Ovis aries: one gene and its partners. The protein of the gene in region 1 interacts with the protein of each later gene in a pairwise test. Links are inferred from orthologs where the notes say so. Each region holds a gene or a part of one and is shown in the gene's direction. Other genes may lie near its edges.

What was found.
Region 2: the proteins of PPP1CB (region 1) and PPP1R3B interact in a two-hybrid assay, tested with the Homo sapiens proteins (2 studies listed by BioGRID and IntAct). The link is inferred for Ovis aries from reciprocal best matches to the Homo sapiens genes PPP1CB and PPP1R3B.
Region 3: the proteins of PPP1CB (region 1) and PPP1R16A interact in binary tests that used the Homo sapiens proteins (3 or more experiments, as listed by UniProt). The two-hybrid records come from large-scale screens. The link is inferred for Ovis aries from reciprocal best matches to the Homo sapiens genes PPP1CB and PPP1R16A.
Region 4: the proteins of PPP1CB (region 1) and PPP1R3C interact in binary tests that used the Homo sapiens proteins (3 or more experiments, as listed by UniProt). The two-hybrid records come from large-scale screens. The link is inferred for Ovis aries from reciprocal best matches to the Homo sapiens genes PPP1CB and PPP1R3C.
Region 5: the proteins of PPP1CB (region 1) and PPP1R7 interact in binary tests that used the Homo sapiens proteins (3 or more experiments, as listed by UniProt). The link is inferred for Ovis aries from reciprocal best matches to the Homo sapiens genes PPP1CB and PPP1R7.
Region 6: the proteins of PPP1CB (region 1) and SH2D4A interact in binary tests that used the Homo sapiens proteins (3 or more experiments, as listed by UniProt). The two-hybrid records come from large-scale screens. The link is inferred for Ovis aries from reciprocal best matches to the Homo sapiens genes PPP1CB and SH2D4A.
Region 7: the proteins of PPP1CB (region 1) and CSRNP2 interact in binary tests that used the Homo sapiens proteins (3 or more experiments, as listed by UniProt). The two-hybrid records come from large-scale screens. The link is inferred for Ovis aries from reciprocal best matches to the Homo sapiens genes PPP1CB and CSRNP2.

What each region holds. Positions count from the first base shown.
Region 1 is NC_056056.1:35,686,637-35,691,048, forward strand, and holds the start of PPP1CB (serine/threonine-protein phosphatase PP1-beta catalytic subunit), read left to right. Parts: upstream 1-1,349; 5' UTR 1,350-1,575; exon of another isoform or gene 1,576-1,598; intron 1,599-1,674; 5' UTR 1,675-1,762; coding exon 1,763-1,814; intron 1,815-4,412. UniProt on the Homo sapiens protein: Protein phosphatase that associates with over 200 regulatory proteins to form highly specific holoenzymes which dephosphorylate hundreds of biological targets.
Region 2 is NC_056079.1:24,325,184-24,329,017, reverse strand, and holds part of PPP1R3B (protein phosphatase 1 regulatory subunit 3B), read left to right. Parts: intron 1-341; coding exon 342-1,224; 3' UTR 1,225-3,834. UniProt on the Homo sapiens protein: Acts as a glycogen-targeting subunit for phosphatase PP1. Facilitates interaction of the PP1 with enzymes of the glycogen metabolism and regulates its activity.
Region 3 is NC_056062.1:13,427,414-13,431,716, reverse strand, and holds the start of PPP1R16A (protein phosphatase 1 regulatory subunit 16A), read left to right. Parts: upstream 1-1,437; 5' UTR 1,438-1,706; exon of another isoform or gene 1,707-1,764; intron 1,765-4,303. UniProt on the Homo sapiens protein: Inhibits protein phosphatase 1 activity toward phosphorylase, myosin light chain and myosin substrates.
Region 4 is NC_056075.1:13,013,109-13,017,575, reverse strand, and holds the start of PPP1R3C (protein phosphatase 1 regulatory subunit 3C), read left to right. Parts: upstream 1-1,514; 5' UTR 1,515-1,602; coding exon 1,603-1,616; intron 1,617-3,884; coding exon 3,885-4,467.
Region 5 is NC_056054.1:607,525-611,358, reverse strand, and holds part of PPP1R7 (protein phosphatase 1 regulatory subunit 7), read left to right. Parts: intron 1-512; coding exon 513-578; intron 579-1,141; coding exon 1,142-1,272; intron 1,273-1,631; coding exon 1,632-1,794; intron 1,795-2,914; coding exon 2,915-3,031; intron 3,032-3,834. UniProt on the Homo sapiens protein: Regulatory subunit of protein phosphatase 1.
Region 6 is NC_056079.1:37,576,113-37,579,035, reverse strand, and holds part of SH2D4A (SH2 domain-containing protein 4A), read left to right. Parts: intron 1-2,543; coding exon 2,544-2,764; intron 2,765-2,923. UniProt on the Homo sapiens protein: Inhibits estrogen-induced cell proliferation by competing with PLCG for binding to ESR1, blocking the effect of estrogen on PLCG and repressing estrogen-induced proliferation. May play a role in T-cell development and function.
Region 7 is NC_056056.1:135,103,482-135,107,924, forward strand, and holds the start of CSRNP2 (cysteine/serine-rich nuclear protein 2), read left to right. Parts: upstream 1-1,422; 5' UTR 1,423-1,678; exon of another isoform or gene 1,679-2,329; 5' UTR 2,330-2,478; coding exon of another isoform or gene 2,479-2,502; intron 2,503-3,766; 5' UTR 3,767-3,798; coding exon 3,799-3,879; intron 3,880-4,443. UniProt on the Homo sapiens protein: Binds to the consensus sequence 5'-AGAGTG-3' and has transcriptional activator activity. May play a role in apoptosis.

The sequences.
Region 1 (4,412 bases):
CAGCGTTTATGATACAGCACACGCATATTTTAAGCATCTCAGATCACACACTGAGGAGGAGTATATCACAACTGTTGACAGTGCAGACACTGGTGCTAGATGCCTGGGTTTGAATCCCAGATCTGCCACTGAATTGGGGCTAGGTACTTAACCATTCTGAGTTTCAATAAATCCCATCTACAAAGTAAAGATAATAATAGTACCTACCTCATAGGGCTAGTGTAAGGATTAAACAACACATGTTGTATAACATTTAAAACCGTGCCTGAGCACATACAGGGATCTCAAAAATGTTAGTTATTATTGGTGATATGAGAGTGGGGGGAGCACTGCCTTGAGCTTGAAACAGTATCTTAAGTTTCTGGACAAACACCTGAGGAATGATTAAAGACTTTGCCTCTGACCCACTTCTGAGAACAGGCCAAAAACTCTGGCTTATCTAGATCTTTTGCGTGGCTGCTCTTCCCCCTGCTTTTCTAGAGGCAGAATTATGTGATGGAAAGAAGAGAGGAGCAACCAAGCTTTCTGAGCCTCAGTGTTTCTTTGTCCCTCTCTTCTACATTACCAGATGTGGCAGGAGCTGAAAACACAAAGATAAACTGGGTTTACCGTGTAGCTCACAGTCGAGTGTAGGAGATAAATGCAAAATCACACGGTAGAATGATTAAGCCATATAATGAAAGTATTTTTCTTGTTGCTAAATGCACTGTGAAAAACAGCAGCCACAGAATTTAAGACGTATTTGAAAGAGATCTAAAGAAAGCAGACAGCGGAACTCATGTGAAATATTTTTATTGCTGACCCTCCCAAGGCCCTTTTCAATTTATTTCATCCACGTACACTTGGCAACCAACCTTGTGGAACCGCTGGATTATAAAACCCTTTATTTGCAAAGTCAAACTTTTCCAGTAGAAAAACCCCTTCTCGTTTTCCAAACGGACAAATCCAGCTTCAAACATGGGTAACAGCAGTCCACGTTTCCCGCTTACTGAAAACGAGGAATTGCTTGCCAAATCAGGGACTGAAACCAAGAAAAGAAAAGCGAGGCGGGAACAGCCACAACCGCGTCTGCGTAGCGCCGGGGCCCGGCCAGCTAGGAGGCGGGAAGGTCAACACTGCCTACGCGCGCTCTGCGTAATGGGAGCTTCCCCAGCCCAGCAAACCCTGGGAGCCTCCGGGGCGCCTGCGCAGCCGCTGAGATTCAGCGCAGTGGAACTGGCGAGGAAGGGCGACGCACCTGCGCGAAGCGGGCGGTGCGGCGCGGCGGCGGTGGCGGCGGGCGAACCGAGTCCAGTGCGATTGCGCGAGGGCAGGGGGTGGGTGAGGCGGGGCCGCGAGGCGAGTACGCCGTGCGCCTGCGCGGGGGGCTGCGTGGCGCGGTGGCGGGGCAGGGCGGTGTGGAGTGAGTGGCGCTGCGGGTGGGGCCGTCGGCGGCGCTGGTGAGCTTTGCGGAGTTGGGCGGTGCCGAGGAGGAGGAGGAGGAGGAGGTGGCGGCGGCGGCGGCTGGGTCTGACGCGGCCCGGTTCGTGGGGGGCTCCGCTTGTTTATTTATTTATTTATCGTGGGTGCCTCCGAGTGTGTGCGAGCTCCGCAGCTAGGTGGGGACGGGGTGGGGGGGAGGGCCTGGGGGAAGGGGGAGTTGGAGTTGGGGTCGAAACGCCGCGTGACTTGTAGGTGAGGGCACGCCGAGCGGTCGCCGCAGACTCCGCCGCCGAGAAGCCCTTGTTCCCGCTGCCGGGAAGGAGCGTCTGGTGCCGACAAGATGGCGGACGGGGAGCTGAACGTGGACAGCCTTATTACCCGACTGCTGGAGGGTGAGTCGGGGCCCGGCGGGCCGCGGGGAGGGGACGCTCTCCCTTACCCCTCCTGGTCCCTCGGGCGCTGGAGCCCGAGGGAACACCACCCCACCCCCTCCGCCGTCCGCTTCCCCGCTTTTCCCGCCCCGAGACGGCCGCCGAGGATGGGGGCGAAGAAGCTGGTGGGCCGGGGGAGCGGCCTCCGGGAGAGAGGCCGGCCGAGAGGGGCCGTCCCCGCGGGCGGGCAGTGCCCCGCGGACCTTCGGGGACCCGCACGGCGGCGCGCGGCCGGGGCGTGGGGTGACCCTTCCCAGAAGGAGTGGGCCGGGATGCGTGCTCCGATGCATTGTATGCCCGCGAATTGTGTGTTTCTCCTCTGTGCTCTTTGTGCCTTGCCCTTGGCTGCCTCCCGATTCTTGTTCTGGGAGTGAAAAAAATTTTTTTTTAAAATCCACCTGGGAAAACTGTTTGATCTGTTCAGCAAATTTTACATGATCCTACAGGACGAACTATTTAGGGAGAAGATAACACTAGCGTGAGTACCTCCCATGTCTAATTTAGCTTTAAAAAATAGTAAAACAGGTCTGACCGAGACGAAGAAGCACGCCAGAAATATGTAGACACACGTTTGCTGTAGGGATTAGTTTTCGAATTTGAGAATCTTAACAGGTTTGAGCAGGATTTGATTTCTGCACAAACTTAGGAGAGGTCGATTGTAAAGCCTCTGTTGTGTTTAAAGGGTCTTTGCAAGTCTTCGCAGCTTTTGAAGTTTCTGGGCCCTTCTGTTTTTATTGGATAGTTTTATGTTAGGGTTGGGGATTGAGGGATAAGGAAGAGATGGAGAGGCCAGGATATTATTCAAAGTCCATCGCGGTCTTCTGCCCGCGAATGCCTTTATCCCAACATTTGCGTCATCACTAACTGCTTTGTGAGTGAGTAGAAAAGAAATTGACCCATAAAAAAAAAAAAAAAAGATTTAGAGTCCTCTCTGTCAGAAACTGTGGCAGGATTACATAGACGTTGTTACTTGCTTTCGAATTTCCTGAAGATAATTATTTTTCACAGTGAAACAGTATGTGCTTACTGTGATGGAAAAGCATCACAGAAGATTGTATGGTTGGGGGGCGGAAGGGAGGGCGCTGGTTCCTTTTTTTGGCCGAAGTGTCGGTATCTCATCAGTTTCTGTGTATACCGGTTGTGTAGCAAACTACAGTAAATTTGCTGCAGATGTGAGTCTTCCAGCAGTGTGAGACTGAGTGTCTTTTAAGACTGAATAAGAAGCAAAGTTTTACCAGGAACTCTTATTTGCTTTTTCCTTTACTATTAAGTTATTCCTGGGAGGCCCCCTGGTGCCTGCAGTCAGTTTTCACTGTTTAAGACTTTGTGGATTTTAACAGATGTGAACATCTTGCTGGGTGTGAGACATTTGCTTTGAGGGGAAAATTTTTTTGTTGTTTAATTATTTGTTGTTCTGAGAGGGAAATGTAGCTGTTTAAAAATTTTAATATCTTGTTAACTTTGGGAGAAGTTTATGCTCATCATGAACTTGGCTTGTAAATTTATTTAAAAATATGATGCTTGTATCCAACTTCTTCATTTTTGTTTTCCATATACTTATTTATATACTTTATAGGCATAAGACAAGATAAACTTATGTATTTTTAAATGTTTGATGTGGGATGTCTTAAGTGAGATGATTTTATGATTATACATAATTAAGAAACTTCACTCACCGATTGTTCAAGGCTACTAGGAGAAAGATACGGTGGGGAAAATAGGCTAAGTGATTGTTTCTTTGAATTTGAATTACATCAGTGTTCGGTTCTGGTTTTTGATGATCGTTTTCCAGACATTTTCCCCTTTTAAATTAGCAAGAATTTACTGACCTGCTTTGTGCCAGTCACCAGGAATGCAAAGACAAGACACTGTCTCTTCATTCAGGGAATTCTCAATTTATACAAGTGATTTAATTCTCCAGGCCCCTTTCTCCTTTGCAAAATCTAGACCTGTCCAAAGACATCCAAAACAGACTTGGATTTTCTAGAAAGTAGTTACTTTTAGTATTGAAATAAATTTTTTTAGTCTCCAAATAAAAATCACTTGATTTTCAGTGACATTACATTTTAATTAAAAGTAACTCAAATTCAAGTGAGGTTGCTTAGCAGAATAGCTATAGTTAAATTTTTGGTTTGTCTTTAGTATTAAATGAAAGTACAGAACTTGATCAGCAATATTTAATCTCATTTTAAAATGTTGATTGTAGTTCCATAACATAGTCTCGATTATTTTTTTCTTTTTATTACATCAGATTACCAGTCAGCTATAATACTTTTAGTATACATTTTATGAGTTGGTTTGTGTTTACTTAGGTGGGCAAATCATGTGAATTTCTAAAGCACCATTTACATTTAATTTTTTGTTGTTGATATTATTTAATGCAAAACAGTATACTAATTTATTGTTTGGACAGTGCATATTCCTCCAATACATTTTCTTGATTAAGTTTTGCTTACTACAAAGCCAGAGATTCCTACCACTCTCGGCTGTAGTGACCCTGCTACTACATTGTTGTGGGTTTATCATCGTGCTTTTGACTGGCTGTTTAAATTGAAGCAA
Region 2 (3,834 bases), on another chromosome or scaffold:
GGAATAAGTTTTGGAAACTCCACAAACAGCATACTCTTTTCATTATTCCCCACAATCATCAGCATACTGAAGGCCTCAAGAAGTCCTGACAGGGGATCCCTTGAAGTGGTTTTAAGACCAATGGTTCCATACGTCTTTGGTTTTAACCTTAGGCCTCTGCCCCTGCCCACCCTCCACTTACACTTTTAATCTATCCTGAAGCCATGGTCCACCCTTGAGTTAACAATGAGCTGTGGCCTCGTGGGCGGAGATGAAGGCAAACGCAGCTTGCCAGTCCCTGTTGGAGGGATGAGTCTGAATGTCTGTCTGACCTTTCTGTTTCTGTCTTTCCCCTTGGCCAGGGTTCTAGCGTGTTCCTCTAGCCCCGTGATGGCTGTGGACATTGAGTGCAGGTACAGCTGCATGGCCCCCTCCTTGCGCAGAGAGAGGTTCGCCTTCCAGATCGCCCCAAAGCCAAGCAAACCTCTGAGGCCTTGTATTCAGCTGAGCAGCAAGAATGAAGCCAGTGGGACGATGGCTCCGACGGTCCAGGAAAAAAAGGTGAAGAAGCGGGTGTCCTTCGCCGACAACCAGGGGCTGGCCCTGACGATGGTCAAAGTGTTCTCCGAGTTCGATGACCCATTAGATATTCCGCTGAACATCACCGAGCTCCTGGACAGCATCGTGAGTCTGACAACAGCGGAGAGTGAGAGTTTTGTGCTGGATTTCTCGCAGCCATCAGCAGACTACCTGGACTTCAGAAATCGGCTTCAGACCGACCATGTGTGCCTGGAAAACTGCGTTCTAAAGGACAGGTCTATTGCAGGCACCGTGAAGGTGCAGAACCTCGCGTTCGAGAAGACAGTGAAAGTCCGGATGACCTTTGACACCTGGAAGAGCTTCACAGACTTTTCCTGTTGGTACGTGAAGGACACGTACGCAGGTTCAGACAAGGACACGTTCTCCTTTGACATCAGCTTGCCTGAGAAAATTCAGTCTTACGAGAGGATGGAGTTTGCCGTGTGCTACGAGTGCAACGGACAGACATACTGGGACAGCAACAAAGGCAAAAACTATAGGATCATCCGAGCGGAGCTGCAGTCTACCCAGGGTACAGCCCAGCCATCAAACGGACCAGATTTTGAAATAGCCTTTGACCAGTTTGGAAGCCCTCGGTGTTCCTATGGTCTGTTTCCGGAGTGGCCTAGTTATTTGGGATACGAGAAGCTTGGGCCATACTACTAGTGACAGCCTGGGATGGAGCCAGGCTCAGTGGGCGCGGATGAGCCGAGCTGCAGTCATCCTGAGATGGAGAGGGAAGCCTAGAGGAGAGCTGAACTGCCATCAGACACAGTTTTGAAAGCAAAGGATCCTAGTTACTTTTACCCTTCAATCAGCCAAGACAGCCAGGCTTTGATCACAGAACTGGGTTCTCACTTGGAGGAGATGGCTGTGCTGGTCCGTTTGGCAATGAGGGTCTGTCTGAGCAGGATGATGCTGGAAAGAGTCTGGACAGGACCCAGGCTTGTGGGCAGCCCTGGCCAGGCCAGAGGATGTTGGCTCAGTGATAAGGAGTCCCTCTCCTCTTGGGTGTGGGAAGTCAGTCCCCTGGCAAGCCCTTGGTCCTCCCCGTGGCCCCTCTTCTGGGGGTCTTTGCCACCCAGCCAGGGCCTTCTCACCTGCCCTGTGTCTACATGGGCTTCACACTTTATCCCTGCATTTTTGTGCACTTGGTTTTCTTCCACAGTTCAGCTGATGTTCAGGAAAAGAGGATACAAGCCAATCAACTTGTGATGGAGACGGGCATTCTCTCTTTCTGACCCTGCTCTGACGGCCCAGCAGAGGATGACACACCAGCTATGGGAAGTCAGCTGGCTCCTGGGTGGTGTCACCAATGGCGCACTAGGCTGATGCCAGCAGGACAGGCATGAGTGGGACACTTAGCTTCTCTTCTTGGCTTTGGAGGAGCTTTCTAAGCCCTCACTCTTACCCTGAGTTACTGGACAGCTTGGTTACAAGACTTGTTGTAACTTGCTCAGCTGGCTTGCCTGTGTCTCTTTCTTCACAAAAGGATTTTAGAATCTCTTTTCCTGGAGAGTCATCATTTACGCCATGTTTGGGACGTTTGGATTTGCAGATTCAATATATCCTCCACACCTCCAGAAAACATTTGGTTGTATTTTGACTGTGATTTACAACATCCACGTTGTAAACAACACCTTACCAGCCCTCACGGACTTTGATTTGGTTGTTCTTATTTATGGTGTGTGGGTGTGTAAAGGGATAGGGAGAAAAACCTCACCAAGTTCGTAGATTTGATTTTTACTGTTTGCCAACTCTGAAATATCATAGACTCATTGTTCTTAAACACATTGGACTAAAGCATTAAAAGTCTGTTGGTTCACATTGTTGTGAGATTACTGGGACTTTCCTCATCCGATGGATCCCCAAACCCTGTGATTTTTCTTGGGCAAGATTCATTGGTACTTGGGAGTGTTTAAAAAGTACTTTTATATGTGTATTTGTAGAAGGTTTGGGTTTTGTTTTTATTTTCAGAACTTAATTAAAGGACCGCCTCGTTTTTCTTCTGTCTGATCTTACTAAAGCGAGGTCTTCCTAAGGGGAGGCAGGAGACAGGATGCCCCACTCCCTAGATCTAGGGACACAGACCCTGGACCCTGCACTCAAAGAGCCTTCTTTCACTTGCATTCTCCAGATCAGTTGGAAGAGACCTCCTGGCTTCTGTGGCTTTTGTAAATCAGCATTGAGCTGATCTCAAGTGTCTTGGCTCCTAGAGTTTTGTGGTTGAGTTCTTTTTCTTTTCTTTTTTGAACTTTAAAATGTTTTGATTGTTTTAAATGCTCTTAAGTGGTGTTCCACAGAGTTCTTATCCCTAAAACTGGCTGTGATTAGTCTGCAACCTAGTGCTTTATTTTTTATGTCTCTCCCAGGTGGCCAACACTGGGGGATTACATGCTAATATAATTTAAGGGACAATCACATTTTTTTCTTATGCTGACATTGGGCAGAACTGGGTTTTATGTAAGCATGTCTTACATCCAGTACACAGACAAGATCCTCTATATTACAAATCTGGTGATCAGAATTGTTATACAAGAGTGTAAATCTACACTATTTGGAAGCAAACCTAATTTTATACGGGTCATGAATTTATTTTGCTTTAAGAAGTCCCCTCCCTCCTGCAGTTTATGAAAGGTACAAAGTGTACTTATGACCAGATCGTTCTCTGTTAGTAAGAAAAATGCCTCAAGTGACTTCTGTATGGTTTTCAGTCATTGTGATCTGAAGGCATTCCCATGTCAAAATTTGAAATATGGTAATTCAGTGATAAGTATCTCTTTCAAAACAACCACAACCCCTCCCCCTACCCTTCTTTCCTCCCAGCTCAGCCCAGCTTTTCTGCTGGGGGCACTGGTTGCAAACCCCCTCACCAGTGCACCTGGGTTGCTCACCCCACCGGGCAAGTCCTTACCTGCTGGCAAAGAAAGACCCTTCTCTGACTAAAGCAAGTGCCTGCCCAAGGTCCCTGGCAGCATTGTCAGGCAGTGAGGTTTTGTCCTCTGAAGAGCACTATCTCCTCTTCACCAGTCAGTCTCCTTTTGGGCTTCCCACATGGCGCTCGTGGTGAGGAACCTACTTGCTAATGTAGACAACTTAAGTTTGATCCCTGGGTTGGGAAGATCCCCTGGAGGAGGGCATGGCAACCCACTCCAGTGTTCCTGCCTGGAGAATCCCACAGACAGAGGAGCTTGGCGGGCTGCCGTCCATAGAGTTGTAAAGAGTTGGACACTACTAAAGTGATTTAGCACACGCATGCTGTCTGCTTTGGGGCCA
Region 3 (4,303 bases), on another chromosome or scaffold:
TGGAAAAGTGTGTTTGGCAGCGACCCTGAACCATGGTTCTCCTGGTCCCAGACCCTTCTGTCCACTCAACTCCTCCCTGGCGTGATCTGTGGCTCTGCCTCTCAAGTGCTCTGTACCCTGCTCTGTATACTACCCCAAAGCCTGGGTTCCCCCCCCCCGGGGGGAGGACTGGGCAAGTTTGCACAAGGCATTTATCAGGCCCAGGACACCAGCAGTGGTAGGGTGTTGCTATTAGAACCCCCAGACCCGAGGGAAGCCGTGGAAGCACAGGGACACACTTTATATCACTTTACTCAAGATTTTTCTCAGGCAGCAGCAGCACTCCCCCTGCCCAGTCCGCCCCCAATTATACCCTTGCTAAGTCACTTCAGTCGTGTCCAACTCTGTGCGACCCCATAAACGGCAGCCCACCAGGCTCCCCGGTCTCTGGGATTCTCCAGGCAAGAACACTGGAGTGGGTTGCCATTTCCTTCTCCAATGCATGAAAGTGAAAAGTGAAAGGAAAGTTGTTCAGTCATGTCCGACTCTTAGCGACCCCATGGACTGCAGCCTACCAGGCTCCTTTGTTCATAGGATTTTCCAGGCAAGAGTACTGGAGTGGGGTGCCATTGCCTTCTCCGCCAAGTAGCTTAGGTGGCAGCTAATTTAGTGTAAACCCTTAGAGGGCTGAAAATCTGGAGCATACAGTGGGTGTGCAGCTCTCACTGAGGTGCTGAGAGAAGGGATGGGTGATGGGTGATCTGGAGGAGGAAGCCTGGGGCTGAGATGATGTTGGTGGGGTGCTACACTGCTACCTCCATTATCAGATTCTTCATATTTCCTCTGGCTTCCTCTGGACTCCCATGTCACCTCTTCAAGTCCTGTTCGTTTCCAGGGCTCTAGCTGAGAGGTTCTTGTGTCTTCTAGCCCAGTTCAGTTATTGAGAGGTCTTTTTCTCCAACAGGTCTAAGGCACTGCTTTTCCTCCACTGTCCCCTCCTTGCTTCCAGGATAAAGCCCAGCTCTTGGTTTGGCGTTCAGGGCTCCTCACGTCCTGACTACTCATCGCTGGCCGCACAGACCCCACAGAGCGGGCCCCGCCCTCCTAAACCACCACCTCAACTGTTCCCACCTTGGCGCATGCTCTCCCCCCATTAATGCCCCTGCTTTGTCGAGTGAACTCAGACCCTTTCTTAAAAGATCAGAGTAATCAGACGACCACCCTCCTGGCAAACTTGTGACTACTTGCGCTTCTCGCCCCGGAAGGCCCTCCCCTTGCCTGCCGGCCATCACTGCACCCTGCCCAAGCGGCGGTCCGCAACCTCCCCAGTCCCTCTGGGCAAGCCCCGCCCCCGGGCGGCGGTTTCCGGTCCTGGGGAGCGCGGGCCGGAAGTTTCGCGTTGCCATGGCAAGGGCCGGGCGCGGGCCCGCCCCCGCGGCGCCGGGAGGAGCGCTGGGCAGAAGGACCCGCGGACCGGCTCCGATCGGCTGCGAGGTGGCTGCTGGCGCGAGGCGGAAGGTGAGGAGCGGACTTCCGGGGCCGGCGGGCGGGCGGGCGGGGAGACCGGGAGGCTGGGATCCCGGCGGGAGGCCGCCCAGGCCCCGCTCGGCGCCGGTGCTGAGGGTCGGGAAGGCTCCTGGAGTGGCGGCCGTCAAGGCCGGGCCGGGGCGCTGTTCGCGGCTGAGCCGAATGCGGGGTTGTTTTCAGCCGTGTAACCTGTTGGCCAGGTAGGCAGCACCGGAGTTACCTCCGTTTCAGCTGAGGACATTCGGGCCTGCAGAGAAGGTACTTGCCAGGCTTCGTGTGTGCTTTGGAGCGAGGCCAGAGGAAAAACCTGAACCTTTCTGTGCCAAATTCCTTAACTTCCAGGGGTTCTAGTGACCTCCTTGTAGGGATCCTGGGCTCCAGCCCACCGATGGGTGTCCGGGCTGGAATAGCCATAGCTGTGCGGCGAGCGCCGGCCCGCGCGGCTTCGGAGGCGCAAGGGGCCTGGGCGGGAAGGTCCACGCCGGTGGGGCCCCTCCCTGTCCTGCAGTGGAGGCTGAGGCGACTGTGGGATTAGTTTCCGTGGGTGCGGAGGCGTTTCAGGTGTGGGGGAGCGGGAGCCAGGGCCGAGCTCTGGCTGGCCCTCCTCAGAGCTCTGGGCCTTCCTTTCCCTACCCCGTCCTTAGCTTGGGGGTGGAGTGGGGGCCGCACTGCTCTTCTCAGCCCCTCTGCTCCCGGGGATGCTCCCTGGTGATGCTTGTGGGCTCTCCCTGGGAGAGCTGTGAAGGAAGGGCCTCTGTGCCCCAGGCTGGCCTCCTGGCTTACTTCAGGGGCAGCGAGATTCGCCTTATGGGCGGATGGTTCCCTGACGGATCCTGGACCGCTGGCCCCGCGATCCTTGCCTGGGGGCCCTGTGGCGCTCTGAGCAGCCAGCTCCCTGCCTGCCTCCACTGTGCCGGAGGCTCTTGGCTCAACGCTGGGATGGAGCAGCATCAGCAGGTCTATCTTTCCTTCCTTGTGGGCTCTCCGCGGACCTGCCCTGGCTTCATCCCTCACCTGCTTGGACTCTGCTCTCCTGGAAGGTTCCTGGGCTGGCAGGCGCCCAGCAAGAGGCCCTGGTACCTGTGGGCTCCACGTTGGTGTCTGTGTTCTAGGGATTTCTGAATTTCACTGTGTTCAGCTTTGGAACCTCAGTCTCAGATGAGCCTGTGGTGGCCCAGCACGGCACCTGCACCCCAAGAGTTCCCCACACCAGTGCCTCTGTCCCGGTCCACTTGTTAGCCAAAGCAAGTGTCTGGGTGGTAGTGTCTTCTCTCAGACTTGCTCCTCAGTTGCCCAGATCCTGGTTGTCCTGTCCATCTCTCGTACCAGCAGCCTGCACCTCCTTCTGGGATGGGAGCCTTTGCTCCTGGCCGCTCTTCTGCGCTCTGACTCGGCGCTTTGACTCCACCCTTCTCACCATAGGCAGAGTTATGGGTCCGAAAAGCAGATCTGATCCTTGTCCCTCCTGAACATCCTTCCTCAGAGACTGCTGGATGACATGCCTGTCTTTGCACACTCGTCCCCCTCCTCTGCCCCCGCCCCACTCCTGAGCACCTTGCCATGTGTGTCGGGCCTCCACCCTCCTGAACCCTTGCAGTAGTGGTGGAGGAGGCGGGGAGGGGAGAGAGTGAGCCTCCGCCTCCCTTCCAAGCTCTGTGTCTTTAGGAACAGCCCTGCCAGCACATCAGACTGAGAAAAAAGGACAGAGGGACAGTCATGTCTAATTCCACAGACGCCTGGGACGGCGGGCTGGGGAGGAAGAGGCGCTCGGCTGCCGGGCCCCGTGCTGGCTGTGTGGTGAGGCCCGACGGCAGACAGCGAGTCTGGGCTGCGTGCTTCCTGGGCGGCTGTGACAGACACAGATTGCCGGGACTGCCCGAGACCTTGGTCATTCTTTGACCACTGCTGTTGGGTAGGTTTTGTGTGGGGTGCTTTGTAAGACTCACCCCCACCCACCCCCAGAACCTCCTTCTGTTTTGGAAGGTGAGCCCTGGGAGCCTCCAGGACTCAGGTGAAGCTCCTGCAGACCCTTCCCACCATCCGGGAGGTCTGGATGGCCCTTCTGCGCTGGCAGGGCACGCGGCCAGCCTCGCTGTGGCCACAGGCCTCCTGCGTTTGCTCCGGGCTGCGCTCAGGGCGTGTGGGCACTGCATGTGTCACCATCACAGGCTCTGCATCCCAGTGCCAAGCCCAGCCCTGGCACAGCTGCACTCACAGCTGAGTGGCAGTTCATCCACCCGGCGGCTCAGTCCTGGGCTGGGCACCTGCGTCTGCTTCCGCGCCGTCCCTCAGTGTAGGGAACCCATCAGCTCCTGCGGTCATGGGTACTTCTGCAGGTCAGGCCTGGGGCTTGGGGAAGAAAACAGTGACTAGTGCAACAATGGAAGCGGGGTGAAGATGCAGCAGAGTGACGGGTTGACTGCAGGGGACCTGAGGAGGCAACGTTTAAGCTGGGATCTGAGCTGCAGGAAGGAAGGAGGTATGCTGAGATCTTGTGAAGAACTTTCCAGACAGAAGGCACAGCTGACAGAAAGGGGCACAACGATGAGGTGGCAGATCGGGGCTGGCAGAGCTTTTCTGTGAAGGGCCAGAGAGTCAGGGTTTCAGGCTTTGAGGGCCACGTGATCCCTGGAGCAGCTATTCTGCCGTTTCGTGGAAGAGCAGCCACAGACAATATGCAAGTAAATGTGCTCTGTTTCCACAAAACTTTGCTGACAGACCCTGAAACTTGAATTTCACGTGATACTCATGTGTCACCAAGTATTCTTTTTCTTTTAATTTGTTTGCCAATCATTAA
Region 4 (4,467 bases), on another chromosome or scaffold:
GAAGCTCAAACTTGTCTAGATTTGAAAGTGTCAAACCCAAACAGTGCCCCTTCAGCTAGTTTTGGTTGTTCTGAGAAACTAGAAGATCTGCTTTTAGTTGGATGTTTTCTTTAAAAAATCAAGCCCAAGTGATAAATAACTGCCCCAGTGATAACTCACTTTTTCTTTAACCACACCATTTTAACACTTCTGCTGCTGCTGAACGGTGATTTTAAAGACATAGGGATTTTTGTACATTTTACATTGTATATTCTGTACATTTTTATGGACTGCTGGATAACTAAATTGAGAGCAGAGCAAGGACATGGACTTTATACAAACAATTCCTACTCGACTTAGAAATTTAATTTTATGGTTGTAACTGATGATGGTCTAAAAACTCCCCAAACTAAACAAAATTACAAAACCTCGATGAGAATAACCGGCCTGGGAGAGTCATGAAACTTACAGTGTGATAGTTTAACATTTTGGTTTTCACATCGCTGCCAGAGGACGTCAGAACCCAGATGAGGGATTTGGGTTGACCACTGGCTCTGCGGGCTGACCCACCACATGAGCAAAAGAGGCCTTTTCATTTCTGGCTTTAGTTTTCTCTTCCAGGGAGAAAAGCTGAAGACTAGATTGAAATACAAAGTACCTTTTAATGAAATGCTGCCTCATTGTCTTATAATAGGGCTAACACAGACTGCCGGTGGCTCAGATGGTAAAGAATCTGCCTGCAAAGCAGGAGACCCGGATCAATCTCTGGATCAGGAAGATCCCCTGGAGAAGGGCATGGCAACCCACTCCAGTATTCTTCCCTGGGAAATCCCAAGGACAGAGGAACCTGGCGGGCCACAGTCCATGGGATCTTAAAGAGTCGGACAGGGCTGAAGCATTTAATACGGACTAACACGGTTTATTAACAATATTGGTTAGAGAAGAATGTACTGTGTGGTGCATTTCCGGGTTCACCCTAACCCCAAAATATGCAGTCAACTTCTGATTGCTCAGGGCAAGGAAAGGGAGAAGATAAGCCAATGCACCAAGCAATGAACAAGATAAACATTTCAAAACTATAAATATAAGCACACACACACATCCCCTTCCCCCACCGCCACCCCTCCACGCGTCCCCGGAACGAGCCACAGTGTCCTGCCCTCAGATAACTGTATACAGAAGCCTCGCGAGTGAGACACCTCCCTCCCTGCAGCCCCGCTGTGTTGGCGCTCCGCGCGGGAGGAGGTTTGCTGCTTTCCCTCCTGGCCTGCGCCGGCTACTTGTGCTACGCGGTTGCCTCCACGCCTCCTCGCCCGGGGTTCGCGTTACTCTACCCCGGCCAGCTGGCCCGGGGTCCCAGAGCGCCCCCAGCGCCCGGCGAGCCCTGCACCACGGCAGTCACGTCCCGGCAAGGGCTCGCGCCCCAGCTGAGCGCTGGTTGGTCGCGCCGTCGAGCCCGCGGCCCAGCGATTGGCCGTGGCAGTCGGCTCACGTGGTCCCCCGCAGTTAAGCGGCCTCCCGGGGGCCGCACCCGCGATCTGCCGGAGCTGCGGCCACTCGGGGACTCCCGGGAGACGCGTGCGAACTCTCGCAAACCGCGGAGTGCCGCCGCTCCTCTGCCTGATGAGCTGCACCAGGTAGGTTCCCTGCAGATTCTCCGACCCGGAGCTCAGGGAGCGCGCAGCTGTCGGGAGGCTGGGATGCGTTTTCCTGCTGTCATCCCCGCCCCGGAGACCCCAGGGGAGGGCGGGTTGACAGGCTGCTGAAGAATCTGGCGCTGGGGAGGCCTTGGAGGTGTGAAGATTTGCTCTGAGCATCTTAGGCAGAGCTGATTTCGGTAAACGGCATCTTAAACCAGAAACGTGAGTCAGCTTTAGTTCTGATTCCCTCGTGGATTCTAACCGTATCTCTTGGTCCTGCACAGAGGTCTCAAGGACTCGTGGGAAGAGCACTCAGATTGCTGGCTGTGTAGTTTAGCTTTGGGAAAAACTTAACGATGGACGATGTTCACTTTCCTTGGTCCTCTTTCCTTCTTCTGACGGTTTGCCATAGCAAAGCCAGTCTCGGGAGTTTGAGCAAATGATTATTTTTAAACTCTTCGGCCAGACTTAACATTCCAGGGAAATCGCCGTATCCTGAAACTGTCTTTAGATAAGTGCAAAATGTGAAAATACAGGGCAAACCCCCAAACAAAAAAACCACCCACAAAACTACTTAAATAGCTTCTTTAGACATAACTTAGCAGAAGACGTCTCTAAAATTTCCGCCTGTTAACTATTATTAGACCAATAAATATAGCTTTCTCTCTCATTTGTTTGTTCTAAGTTTGTAGGTCTCCCAGAAAAATCCTAGGGCTAATAAAGTGAATTCTCAGAATATTCTTTTATTACCCATCTTATGATAATGACCATTTGGCTATGTGCTTAGAGCTGCTGGGAAGACAGTTACTAAAGCCGGAACGAGAAATGTCACATACAGTATACACACACTTCTTATCTGAAGGCTAGGGTAGGGGAAAAATGTCCATAAGTTTGGCAATGTATACTCAGGGCTAAAGGCCAGAAAAAATACCTTTCTTGATGGACACTTCATGGTTTAATATTTCTGGGCATAGTTATGTCTAAATTTTAAATAGCTTTATTATCTTTCTAGTTATAAATATCCATTGCCAGAACATTTGAAAATACCAAAAAAGTACAAAGGCAAAAATAGATCACCTATCACCCGGAGATAATTGTTAACTTTTTGTTGTGCTTCCTATTAGACTTTTCAACATTTATAAGTTCATATATGTGTTGTGTGTGTGTATATATATATATATATAAAACACATTTATTGAAACTATCCTATTTTCAGGTTTGGCTTTCCCAGTGACTCAGCGGTAAAGAATCTGCCTGCAATGCAGGAGACACGGGTTCAATCCCAGGGTTGTGAAGATTCCCTGGAGAAGGAAATGACAAACCACTCCAGTATTCTTGCCTGGAAAATCCCATGGACAGAGGAGCCTGGTGGGCTATAGTCCATGGGGTCACAAAAGAGTCTGACATGACTGAGTGACTAAATAATGACAATAATTTTCAGATCATCAGATTTTCCCACTTAAATGTGGAGTTGGCATGGATGTCTTTTTGGGTGAAATACAGATTATGTAAAGATTTTTAAATTCATAAATGGCTGCCTTGCACTTCAGTAGGTTATTTGTGTAAAATGGGGAAGAGCATGGTAATGAAAGTGCAGAGAGAATCCTCTAATTTACTCTTTCTAGTCTTTGGCTCTCAAAACCCTTTGCTGTTTTTATTCTTTCTTTTTAAATGGATTATGGTTCCAGAGAAGTATAATTAATTCAATAGCAAAATCATCAAAGCAGTTGAGGGAGTGCAGTTTGGAACTTTGATTCTAGAACCTGTCTGGTCATTGGCTTACCTGGGAAGCTTTAAGAACATATATACATTCTTGTCTCCATCCCCAGGGGTTCTGCATTAGAGGCTCTAAGTCCAAGGATTCTGCATTGAAAAAAAAGAAATCCAACCCACTAGGCCATGGTGGGGGCTTCCGTGGTGGCTCAAACAGTAAGGAACCTGCCTGAAAACAGACAGGTTTGAGAACTGGTGCTCCAGAACAGAGCAAATGGTTTTAGAGCTGTATTAGAGTTGATCCCATCCAAATCTTTTATTTCTCAGATGGAGAAACTGGGACACCAAGTGTTTTAACCCGTGGCCTATAGCCTGTCAAGGGCAGAGCCAAACGTAAGATGCAGCTTTTATCACCTAATCCTGCATTCCTTTACTTCATGTGAGAGCGCTGTGCTGGCTGTAATAGCCAACAAAAATAGTACAGACCTACTTGGGACCAGGGGAAGTGCATTCTAGGTGCAGATGATAACCCCTCTTCTTTCTGTATTCTAGAATGATCCAGGTCTTAGATCCACGGCCTCTGACAAGTTCAGTCATGCCCGTGGATGTCGCTGTGAGGCTCTGCTTGGCTCATTCCCCACCTCTGAAGAGCTTCCTGAGCCCTTATGATGACTTCCAACGAAGAAATTTTGTGAACAAATTAAAGCCCCTAAAGCCGTGTCTCAACATAAAACAGGAAGCCAGAGCTCAGGACGGCTGGAAGCCTTCACACAACCAAGCCAAGAAGCGGGTGGTGTTTGCGGACTCTAAGGGCCTCTCCCTCACCGCCATCCATGTCTTCTCAGACCTTCCCGAGGAGCCCATGTGGGATCTCCAGTTTGACCTCTTGGACCTGAATGATATCTCCTCAGGCTTAAAGCTCCACGAGGAGAAGAACCTGATTCTGGATTTCCCTCAGCCTTCAGCTGACTACTTAAGTTTTCGGAACCACTTCCAGAAGAACTCTGTCTGCCTGGAGAACTGCTCTTTGCAGGAGCGAACAGTGACGGGGACTGTGAAGGTGAAGAACATGAGCTTTGAGAAGAAGGTTCAGATCCGGATCACTTTTGACTCCTGGCAGAGCTACAACGACGTG
Region 5 (3,834 bases), on another chromosome or scaffold:
CTCGGCCACCCCAGGGGCCTGGTGGCGGAGAGCCCTGCCGTCAGGCCATCTTTTATGAACGTGCCAGATTAGTAGGCGATTCCCTAGAAGCAACGGTGGTCGGGGCCTCCCTTGGCTGGTCAGAGTCCTTGTGTTCTTACTGTTTTTAACACCAGGGCTTGGTCTCGCGTGGCGCTGTACACACCGAGAATTGTGTGGCAGAGGCAGCCGTGACCACTGCACATCCGTCCTGGTGCGAGGAGGAGCCGCAGGCGAGGGTGGGGCAGCCCCCAGGGGTGACGAGGGGCGCGCGCAGGCGAGAGCAGGCTTCTCGCACCACTGGTTCATAGGGTCAGTCTCACGTCAGGCCGCTGCCTGTCACGGCACAGCTGTGCCCGCGTCAGCTGGCCCCATGACTCCGGGCGGCACTGCTCCCCGAGCCCCGCCGCCTCCCGGCCTCCTCATGGCTCCAAGCCCGGGAAGCGCGTCTCCAGGTGCCTATCTGCAGCTGAGCTAGGTTTTGTCTGTTTCAGGATGTAGATCTGAATCATTATCGCATTGGAAAAATTGAAGGATTCGAGGTGCTGAAGAAAGTGAAGGTGAGAGGAACTCGTCCCTGCATGGCAGGGGCCCGCGTGGCCCTGCAGAGTGCATCCCCCCACTGGATGTGGGTGAACCGGAGCAGATCAGTTCTGCGCGGTGACCGTGCTCGGGAAGGTGCCACGCTGCAACGGGAGCGTCCCTCGGGCGCCTTTGATCCTGAGCCCTGCAGGGTAACAGGCCGGACGCTCGGCTAGCTGGCTCTCCCCAGGTTCGCGTGGTGGCTCAGATCGGTGGTGCCTCCGTCGGGGCCTGCCTGCAGCCACATGCAGCCCAGACTCGATGTGCTTAGCTCACTGCAGTTCAGTGAGTTCCCTCTGCTGGAAAACAGCACCCCTCCCCTTGCCCAGCACCCCCCTCACACAGCAAGAACGCTCATCAGGGCCTCCCTGCATCCCCGCGGGTATCTGCCCGTCCTCTCCAGGTCAGCACCGTACTAGAAAACAGGAGCAAAACCACTTCCCCACCCAGGCCCCAGGTGTGGAGGCCGAGTCTGGGACAGTGGGCACTTCCTACGGGCCTCCCCGTCCCCTCTGTCAGCTGCCCTTTTTCTGTCCCCCAGACGCTCTGCCTCCGGCAGAATTTGATCAAGTGCATTGAGAACCTAGAGGGGCTGCAGAGCCTCCGAGAGCTGGACCTTTACGACAACCAGATCCGGAGGATTGAGAACCTGGACGCGCTGACAGAGCTGGAGTGAGTTGTGAGGCTGCAAGGGGCCTGGCAGCCGCCCCGAAACCAGCCCTGCAGCCCGAACTCGGGCCGGGGAGCCCCCGCCCACGGTCAGGCCTGTGCCTGGCTCCGCGGGGGCACCCGCTTGCCCACAGTCCCAGCCTGCACGTGAAGCCTTTGACTGGAGATGTCAGGCTGAGCTCCTTAGGGAGAAGACGGTTTCTGTCCTCAGCCTCGTGCTGGGAGCCGGGGCAGCAGGCTTTCGGGGCCCTATGGGCTGCCCGCCCCGCCACATTCCCCGGGCGGGCTGCTGCCTCTAAGTCAGCTACGTCCTGAGCTCGGCGTGACCTGTGCTCGTTAATGAATGCTTTGCTTGTTCCCAGGGTTTTAGATATTTCTTTTAATCTACTGAGAAACATTGAAGGCGTTGATAAGTTGACACGACTGAAGAAGCTCTTCTTGGTCAACAACAAGATCAGCAAAATTGAGAACATAAGCAGCTTGCACCAACTGCAGATGCTGGAGCTGGGGTCCAACCGGATACGGGTGGGTGTGGGCGCGGGGCGCGGCCTGGAGGTGTGCAGGGCGTGCAGCTGTGTCTCGCGAGACCGAGTGCTCACTGGGGGTCGGTGTTCGTGGGAGCGTGGCCCTTTCTTCCACACGCGGCGTTCTCTTGCTCCTCATCCGAGTCACGATGTAACTCTTAGCAGAGGCGTTGCACTCTGCCCGACAGCGGCCCCGGCGCTTGGCTTTTGGACATGCCGCTGGGTGTGGTTTTAGGCGCGCCTCTTGGCGCAGAAGGGGCCCATGCACAGCAGGGGGATGGGCCCCCACTCCGGCCATAGGAGGGTGGGCACAGCCTGGTGCCTAGTGGGCCCATCCGCCCCTGCTGAGTGGCTGTAGGCAGGGTTTCTGAGCCCTTCCTCCACCTGCATGCCAGAAATGCCCCTCCAACTTTTGGAAGCTTCTAGCACACTGGTCAGCTCAGGTTGGCCCTTGTGAGCTAGACAGGACGCAAACCAAGGAGGGTGTTTGCGGCAAAGGGCTTCTTGTGACCGGTGGTGGTGGTGGTGGTGGTGGTGGTGTGGTCGAAAGTAGCAAAGCAGCACGTGTGAAACTCGGGGTGGTCCAGGCATCAGCGTGTTCCGCAGCATCCCTGTGGGGGAGAGGGGCCGCGTCACAGCCGACGCAGGTGACGGCAGGCGGGGCTGCCCTGCCTCTGAGTCCTCGTCCTCCCGGGCCAGCCCCGGCCCAGCCCCGGCCCATCCTGCTGTGAGGACTGAAGAAGAGGCTCACTCTGCCCTTGGAGGCCCCGCTGCAGCCCCTGCCGGAAAAGCTCAGCTAGCCTGTTGTGGGAGAGTGGTGTACCCGGGAGGCGGGGACCTGAGGCCTGCCAGGGGCGCTCACTAGCGCAGCTGCCCATGGGGCCCTGGGGAGCACGGGGCAGAGCGGGGAGGAGCCTGCAGGCGTCCCAGGCCCGGGGCTCCCGCAGCTGCCACCCGCAGGACACCACCAGCGTCTGTTCTCAGGTTGCGCTCTGAAGTGAGGTTGCCTGGGGGATCCCAGAGCGGGCAGCACTTGCCCGACACGCAGGCAGCTCTGTCTGCTCGCCCAAGGGGTCGGGCCCTCCCCTCCCGTGACTGCTGCCTTGCCCTGATCTTCGCAGGTGATTGAGAATGTCGACGCGTTAACCAGCCTGGAGAGCTTGTTTCTGGGGAAGAACAAGATCACTAAGCTTCAGAATCTGGATGCACTCACCAACCTGACCGTCCTCAGCATGCAGGTGCGGACCGCCCAGCCTCCTGCCCCGTGGGCCCCCAGGGCAGGGCTTTGCTCCTCCACTGCCTCCATGCTGGGCAGCGCTTGGCTTCACTGTCAGTGAGGAGTGGAGACATCACACTGCACAGATCTGCAGCACACGTGACCCACGCGGGCCTGAGGTTTCCTTCCGTAACACGCCACATGTCCTCTAATGAACATCCAGGCGGTGTTTAGCCAGGGCAGCTCGTCTCTCCACAGCTCACGCCGTGCTGGGCTCCTGGTGGGAGTGACCCCCCCAGCCGTCCTGTCCCGTCCGTGCCCAGGAGTGTGCCACCTGGGCATGGTTGGGCAGCACCCACGTGGGGTGGGCAGTGCCCGCGTGGCTGCGGCCCGGCTTCTTTCATCAGGAGCAGGCGCACGGTGGTGGGCCCGGGGGCTTTGGTGGCAGGCCGTGGGGACAGGAACCCCAAGACCACCCATGCCTCTCGGAAAGCAGATATCGTGCAGATCTGTGTGAGAAGCGAGCGCTGTGCTCTAACTCGAGTACGATGGATGCCAAAGGAAATGAGAACTAAGTGATTTTAAATATTCTGATTTTGACATTTTTGAGTTAATTAAATTATTTGAGGTAGACCTGTTTCAAGTAGATTTTGAAAAGTGAGTTTCGTGCATCAAAGCCTTTGGCCATGTGCACGAGTTTGGCCCAGGACAGCAGACGCAGGGCCCTGGTCTGCCTCCCTGTGGGCCAGGCCCCTGCAGCTGCTGTGGGCGGCGCCCTGTTGTCAGGAGCCCTGTGTCCACTGCCATCTTCCCAGAAGCCCCCGG
Region 6 (2,923 bases), on another chromosome or scaffold:
CAGACCCAGAGTCTTCACATCGCAGCCCCTGCAGGCCCTGGGCAGGCTGGTCACTGGTGGCCTGGGTTCAGCCTCCAATGCCCGCAGTGGGACCGGGTGTGTAGAAGGTGAAACGGGCAGGAAGGAGCAGTTGCCGCGGGGATGCTCACGTGGGTATTAGTTGGGCGCCTGACATGGACACCCGGCAGCGACCCCAGGGGCTCCTCAGTCACAGCGCCTGCTGTGTCCAGCACCTCAGTCTCATCAGGAAAGGGCAGGAAGGCGACTGGACTCAGCGGCCTGCGGGACGGGGTCCTGGCAGAGCCTGGATGCCAGAGGAGCGGCCGCCTGCTTCTTTCCTCGCAGGCGCGTTTCCTGTCCATGAGGGGCTGGCCGCAGGCCCTGCTATTGCCCCGCGTCGCCCTGGAGCTGAGCCCCCACACCCAGACGTGCGGGTTCAGGCCCAGCGGGGGAGACGAGGCCCGGGGAGCGGATGATCTCTAATCCTCCCTTCTCAAAGGTCTGCTTACAGAAAAGAACACAAATGGTTTCATTTGACGTTTTACACTGGATCCTTAGGTTTAATTCTCAATTAACTTTACTAACTTTAGTCTTGTCAGACTGAAGAGCTGTGATAATCCATTGCCTTCTCACCAGGAGGCCTTTGGGTTTCTCTCTAATCGTAATACCGAATGTCAGCATGGAAGAGGCAGGAGGTTCCATCTGCTGACGCAGGAAACGTTGCCCTCTGGCCAGAGCTCAGAGCAGCTGACCATCCTGCCAGCACGTATCTGCACACTTCCTCTCTGTCTTATCACGTCGTGGGCTCACCTGAGGAATTACAGATGAGGAGGAGCAAGCAGGGGAACCGGGAGCATGGGTCAGACCTGAGCAATCAGTGTGGACTAATTGGGGAAGGCTGGTCTTGAATTCCTGTGAATTCATGAGGCATCCAAACTATGCGTGTGTAGCATAACACGTGTGTGTGTGTGTGTTTGAAGAGTGGCATCCTTTTGAGCATCTGTGAAGACACAGATAGTACGCATATACACACATGGGGCTTCCCTGGTGGCTCATCTGGTAAAGGATCCGCCTGCAATGCAGGAGACCTCAGTTCAACTTCTGGGTCGGGAAGATCTGCTGGAGAAGAGATAGGCTACCCACTCCAGTACTCTTGGGCTTCCCTGGTGGCTCAGACAGTAAAGAATCCACCCGCAAGGCAGGAATCTGAGTTCGATCGCTGGGTTGGGAAGATCCCCTGGAGGAGGGCATGGCAACCCACTCCGGGGTTCTTGCCTGGAGAATCCCATGAGCAGAGGAGCCTGCGGGCTACAGTCCATGGTGTCGCAAAGAGTCGGACATGACTGAGCGACTAAGTACAGCACATATACACGCGTGTGTGCGCATGCCTGCATCTCTTGCGTCATTCCGTTAAATGAAGCCTCATTTAGGAGTAGTCACAGCAAAGGACACTGTCACTAACTCGCTGACCCCTGACCAGGGTGCCCGCCTTCGGCACTGTCAGCCTTTGGCACTGGATCACTGTCTATAGTGAGGCTGTTCTGTGAGCAGTGGGAGGTTTGGCAGCATCCCTGCCTCCATGCACTGGAGAAGACTAGAGCCACCCCCACCCCCCAGCCCCGGTGTCTGAGACGTTTCCAGACATCGCTCCAGTGAGAACTCCCACTGCAGATCTTGTAGGATCATCCCCAGGCCCCAGGGTCCCCATCAGTCAACTTGGGAGAGCTCACCCTCCCAGGATGACTGTCAACGGTCCTACCCCTCAGAAGCCACATGACGCCCATGCTTGTCACTGGGTGGAGACGTGTTCTGAGGGGCGAGCGTTCCATTCGTACTGCATACGCGGCAAGTCGCTTCAGCGGGGCCCAACTCTTTGTGATGCTATAGACTGTAGCCCGCCAGGCTCCTCTTTCCATGGGGATTCTCCAGGCAAGAATATTGGAGCGGGTTGCCATGCCCTCCTCCAGGGAATCTTCCCCACCCAGGGATCAAACCCAGGTTTCTTATGCTTCCTGCATTGGCAGGCGGGTTCTTTACCTCTAGCACCACCCTGGGAAGCCCTCCATTTGTACTACACATTTGCTTATGGAACCTACCCCATCCCAGAGAAGGCAATGGCACCCGACTCCAGTACTCTTGCTTGGACAATCCCATGGATGGAGGAGCCTGGAAGGCTGTAGTCCATGGAGTCACTGAGGGTCGGACACGACTGAGCGATTTCACTTTCACTTTTCACTTTCATGCGTTGGAGAAGGAAATGGCAACCCACTCCAGTGTTCTTGCCTGGAGAATCCCAGGGACGGGGGAGCCTGGTGGGCTGCCGTCTATGGGGTTGCACAGAGTCGGACACGACTGAAGTGACTTAGCAGCAACCCCATCCCAGGTACCAAATACCAGATGACGAACCACAGTACTGCTCCAAGGAAACCCAGTGTGGACTTAGGGCTGCTCAGGTTCTTACTGGCTTTATCCACACGGCTGTGTTTAGCAGAGGGAAGCTCTGGAAATGATGTGGCTGAAACCCCTGCCCTTCTTTCCCACAGGAATCCTCACCGTAAACAGAGCGAACGAGCTTCTGAGCACCTGCGTGCCGGGCAGCTTTCTGATCCGGGTCAACGAGAAGGTCAAGGGCTACGCCCTGTCCTACCAGTCTGAGGACGGCTGCAAGCACTTCCTCATAGATGCCTCCTTGGACTCATACAGCTTCCTGGGCGTGGACCAGCTGCAGCACGCCAGCCTGGCCGAGCTGGTGGAGTACCACAAGGTGCGGCCCCGTGCACACGTCGCTCGCTCGGTGACGGGTGTCCTGCAGCTGCTCTGACAGTGAAAGGCGGTTCCACGGAAGACAGCTGAGACGAGCAGGGGAGATCAGCCCCCCGCTTCTGTAACTCCTCCCGATAATAGTGCTCATGCTCAATTGTGT
Region 7 (4,443 bases), about 99 Mb from region 1:
GTCACACCGTTAGTAAGAGGAGCTGGGGCTTGTAGTCAGGCCATCTAGCTCCAGATTTCATGCTCTTGGTTACATGTTATATCATGCCTAACTTTAGCAGATAGGTGGATGATCAGTACTGTAAGGACTGCTTTTTTATGATCTGCTTTTTTTCATTTTGCAGTATTGTACCTTGGTTTCTCTGAGTCTCTTATATCACCTAGGGGAGAGAACTGGAATTCTTGGCATTTTTCCAAGTCACTTAACCTCTCAGTTCTAAAACTGAGCTGGCTTGGTACCCGGTAGATCTGGCTCATAGTTCTTGGTGGCAATGTAAGTGCACCATGCTTTGGAACCAGCCTAACCAGAGTTTAAATCCTGCCATCCATCCATTTGATAAATAAAAAGTTCCTAAATGCCAAATACCGTGTTTTGTACTTGGTGCTGAGGATACAGTAAACAAAACAACTTCTTACTCTCATAGAATTCACTCAATTGATAAAAGACTGAAGGATAAATATACGTCAAATAGTAAATGCTTAAGAAATATAGGGCAAGGGGATAGATACTTAGGGGAAGCCCCATTTTAGAAATATGGTTAAGGAAGTGTCTCTGATGAGGGGACGTTTGAGCAAGTATTAAGCGAAGAAGTATAGATCTAGCTGGTGAAAGAGTGTTCCATGATTGTCCTGTTGCAAAGAATCTAATGGGCCAGGGCAGTTAAAACAGAAAGGGAGGGGAAATGTAAGAGACAAGCTGACATACAGGATGGTGGTTGTTCAGGCCAGAGGATTCACCTATATCTTACAGGGCCTTATAGGTCAAAGGAGAGACCTGTTCTTCCATTCTGAGCGAGACAAGACCAAGACTGGGTGTCCTTGGCAAGCGACGTACAACATTCTGATTTCTGAGTCTTAGTTCTCGGTTTTAAAAATGAGCTGCAAAATTGTGAAGATCAGAAATCACGTCAGAAAATCTGGAAAGAAAACAATCCATCAATACACACTGAAGATTACTCTGCATTGCTTCTATTTTCTTTATACTCTGGGCAAGCTGCAGCACGTCGCGCTGCTTAAGACTTAGATCCCCTGAGCGAGGATAAGGGGGATTACGTTCCTTAGACCTGGAAGTGTGGGTCTGATGAAAGGAAAAGGGGAGTTTTAGAAGAGAATCTGTTTAGTCATCGAAGATCTGGAGCTGAGGGTCTCCCCTCATCCTCTTCAAAAGGCTGCAGCGACGTCAAACTCGCTTTCCCAGGCTGCAGCGGAATCACAGCCTTCTGAGACTGCCGGCGAGTTTCGGCTCTGCGCAGGTAGCCGCCTCCAACTCCCGGCATGCCGCTGGGCGTAGGGCTATCACGTAGACTCCATTTCCCAGCCTGCCCCGGGGCTCGGTCCGGACGTGCCGGCGCCTATAAGAGCCAGAGCGCTGCGGCCGGAGCCTATTGTTAGCCGGAGCCGGGGCGGTTCTGGGCGGCTGCTGCCGGGGGGCGCCCGAGTTGTCGGAGCCGCCCGCCCTCTGCCGCCTGCCGGCCGACCTGCCCACCCATCGTCCCTCCCCGCCCTGCCGCCCTGGGAACTCCCAGACCGTCTGTGCGGCCCCGGGACTCGCTTTCTCCTCCCTCCTTCCACTTGGGCTAGGGCGGCGGCAGCGGGGGCGGCAGATACCATCACCGGAGGAGGCAGCTGCGGCGGAGCCGGTAATGGGCCTAGGGGTGGGGGGCGGAGGGTGCCTCCTCGTCCTTTCTCGGGATCGGCCCCCGGGCGACTGTGGAGGAGTGGTCAACCCAGAGCCGCGCGGATGGAGGGGTCAGAAATGAGGGAGGCACGGACGGCAGCGGTCGGGGGGCGGGGAGCTAGAGCGCCGCCGGGAAGGGAAAGAGTCGGGAGAGGCGTGGGAGCCGGGGGCACGGAGGACGCGGGCCCCGACTGCGGGGGCAGCTTAAGGGAGACCGACGAGCGGCTTAGAAGCCGGCAGGAATTCGGATTGCGGGTTGAGTTCGGAATGGAGTGGAGATGATGTAGGATGGAGGGAAGTGAAGGAAGGGGAGGGGGGAAATAGAAGAAAATGTGGGAGGAGTGGTTGGGAATTTGTGGGTAGCAGGCAGGAAAGGATGGGGAGCTGGGTAGGGGCTGCAGACGCTTGGAGTGAGCAGGAAGATTAGCAGGAGTCAGAGTGAAAAGGTACCCCAGCGCTGAAGGGTTCAGCGGGGGTGTCCATGAAGGGGAACTGGTGACTGGACATGTCCTTTCAACCCAGGTTCCTGAGGTCTCCCATTTTTTTGTGTGGCGTTGTGTGGGAAAACGAAAGCATCAGTTGCCCTAGTTGCTAGTTGGCTCTTTTTTCACAGGCCCAAACACGCAGCCGACTGCCATCCATTCCTTTTAGTGCCGCGGTCTTGATTCATCCTTTTAAAGGGAGCTAGAGTGGCAATGTGACACACACACGGTTCTTAAGTATGAAACGTTAGAAGTTATCCCCGAGAGACACAGTGTCCCCATGTCTTGCAGTTTTCAGTTCAAGGTAAATCCATCGTTAATTCAGATTCTCCTTTTCTTTTACCGACTTTCCAATTTGCAAGTGTCCAGAGCCAGGAGGGTGTCGATGTGAGCCAGGGTTATAAACGACTGGAGATCCTTGAGAGTTCATGGGTCCTGCAGCACCACCTTCCAGGTCTCCCACAAAGATCTCGTGCCCTTCACAGGATGGGAGTTTAGACGTGGAAAGCCAGATCCTCACCTTGTGTCAGTGAAGGGATGAAACCAGAGGGAAGGTTGGAGGGGAAAAGCTTCCTTGAAATTCCTAGTTTTAACAAAATGTTTTCACTTGAGCACCTTGTTAGTTCATGATCCTGGTTATCACAAGGACACATGGAGCCACAAAATTCATAGTATTTGAGGAGCAGCTCACAATATTTTGTAAAAGGAGAAACAGGACTGGCCATCTTATTTAGGTTGATCCTAACACTTAGCAGCAAGCTTTCCTTCCTCTAATCCAGCTATACATGGTAGTGCTGACATCTTACTAGAGATTTTCGGCCCTTGACCTTTAGCAGAAGGTTGGGTTCCAGTCGAGTAGAAGTGGGATGTGAGAGGTACCTTGTCTTATTTTGGACTCATTTAGGACAGAGATTTCATTACCTAAACTCTGTCAATACATTCTGCATCCACAGAATTAGGGGAGGGGCAATTCCTTTCTTGCTAGTCTCACATATGCTGGGTTTTGGGGTTTGAGGGCGGTTATAGGATTCCTCACAGGCCTGAAAAGGCTTAAGCTTAGTACTAAAATACATATATGCTATAAATCTGTTTTATTTGGTGCTAGCCTAATCTCTTCTATATACTGTGGATCTGAATCATTTTGTATACCTTTGGGAAATGTTCAACTAGCAGAAATACTTAAGAAAAGGCAGTAAGGCATGCAGCTAGAAAGTGTCAGCTGACCTTTCATTTTAATGGCACAAAAGCTGCTATAGAGGTTTGCGTTATTTTCTCCAAAAGCATTTATTCTTTGAGTTGGTCATTTTGACAGTTAACTGTCAGTTATGACCTGCATTTTCAGTCTCATCTTGATTATTTCGGTATGGGTTAAATGCTTGGAGTATAAGTTATAAGTGTTTTTCTTGAACATAGGCATTGATCCTCTGCCAAAGAATAAACAGTTGAAAAAAAAAAAAAAGAATAAATAGTTGAGAGAAGTGGGGATGACTGATTTCTAACTGTGGTTGGAAAGGAAGTTAAATTGATAAATTGAAAAGTGGAACCCATTGTTGTTATTGCTATTTCAGAAAAGGATTTCTTCAGGCCACAGTGGAAGTGGATGGGAGGTTTCTTGGTGCCCAGTGGACATCTTTATCTCACAAGTCAAGTTCACTCCAGAGAGCTGGACAAGGAAAGCTGGGTTGGAATCTTAAGTTATACTGGTTCTTAGGACAGAATTTTTGGATTTTTTTTTTTCTTTTTGATAAGAATGAGTTAATGGCAGAAAAAGTGATGCTAACATCCTGGATAGGGTGAAAAGAGCTCAGTCAGTGTGCACATTACTTATATATATTACTTTATATTACATATATTACATTACATTACTTACCCATTCAGATGATTCTCAGACATTTTAAGGAAAATATTTTTCTCCCAGGTTTTGCATCTTCTTTTCTTCTTTCTTACTAGCTTCCTCCTATCATTGCCCAGAAACCTCTTTTCCAGAAATGGGAGTGAGGAAGACGTAGAAAAAAAAAGAATAGAGAAAGCAGCCAGTAATCCTGGCCGCCCAGAGTGCACAAAAAGTGACCTGAAGGGAAAAGATACCCTGGGGGCAGCTGGGTTAAGACAGTGGAGGATTATGTTAAAGCACCATCTTGGACCAGACTCAATCACATGCAGGGCTTAAGGAGGAACATTCAGAAGGAACCCACACTCCTGGAAGCAAAGGGACACCAGAACAGAGGACAAGAGTGCACATTTG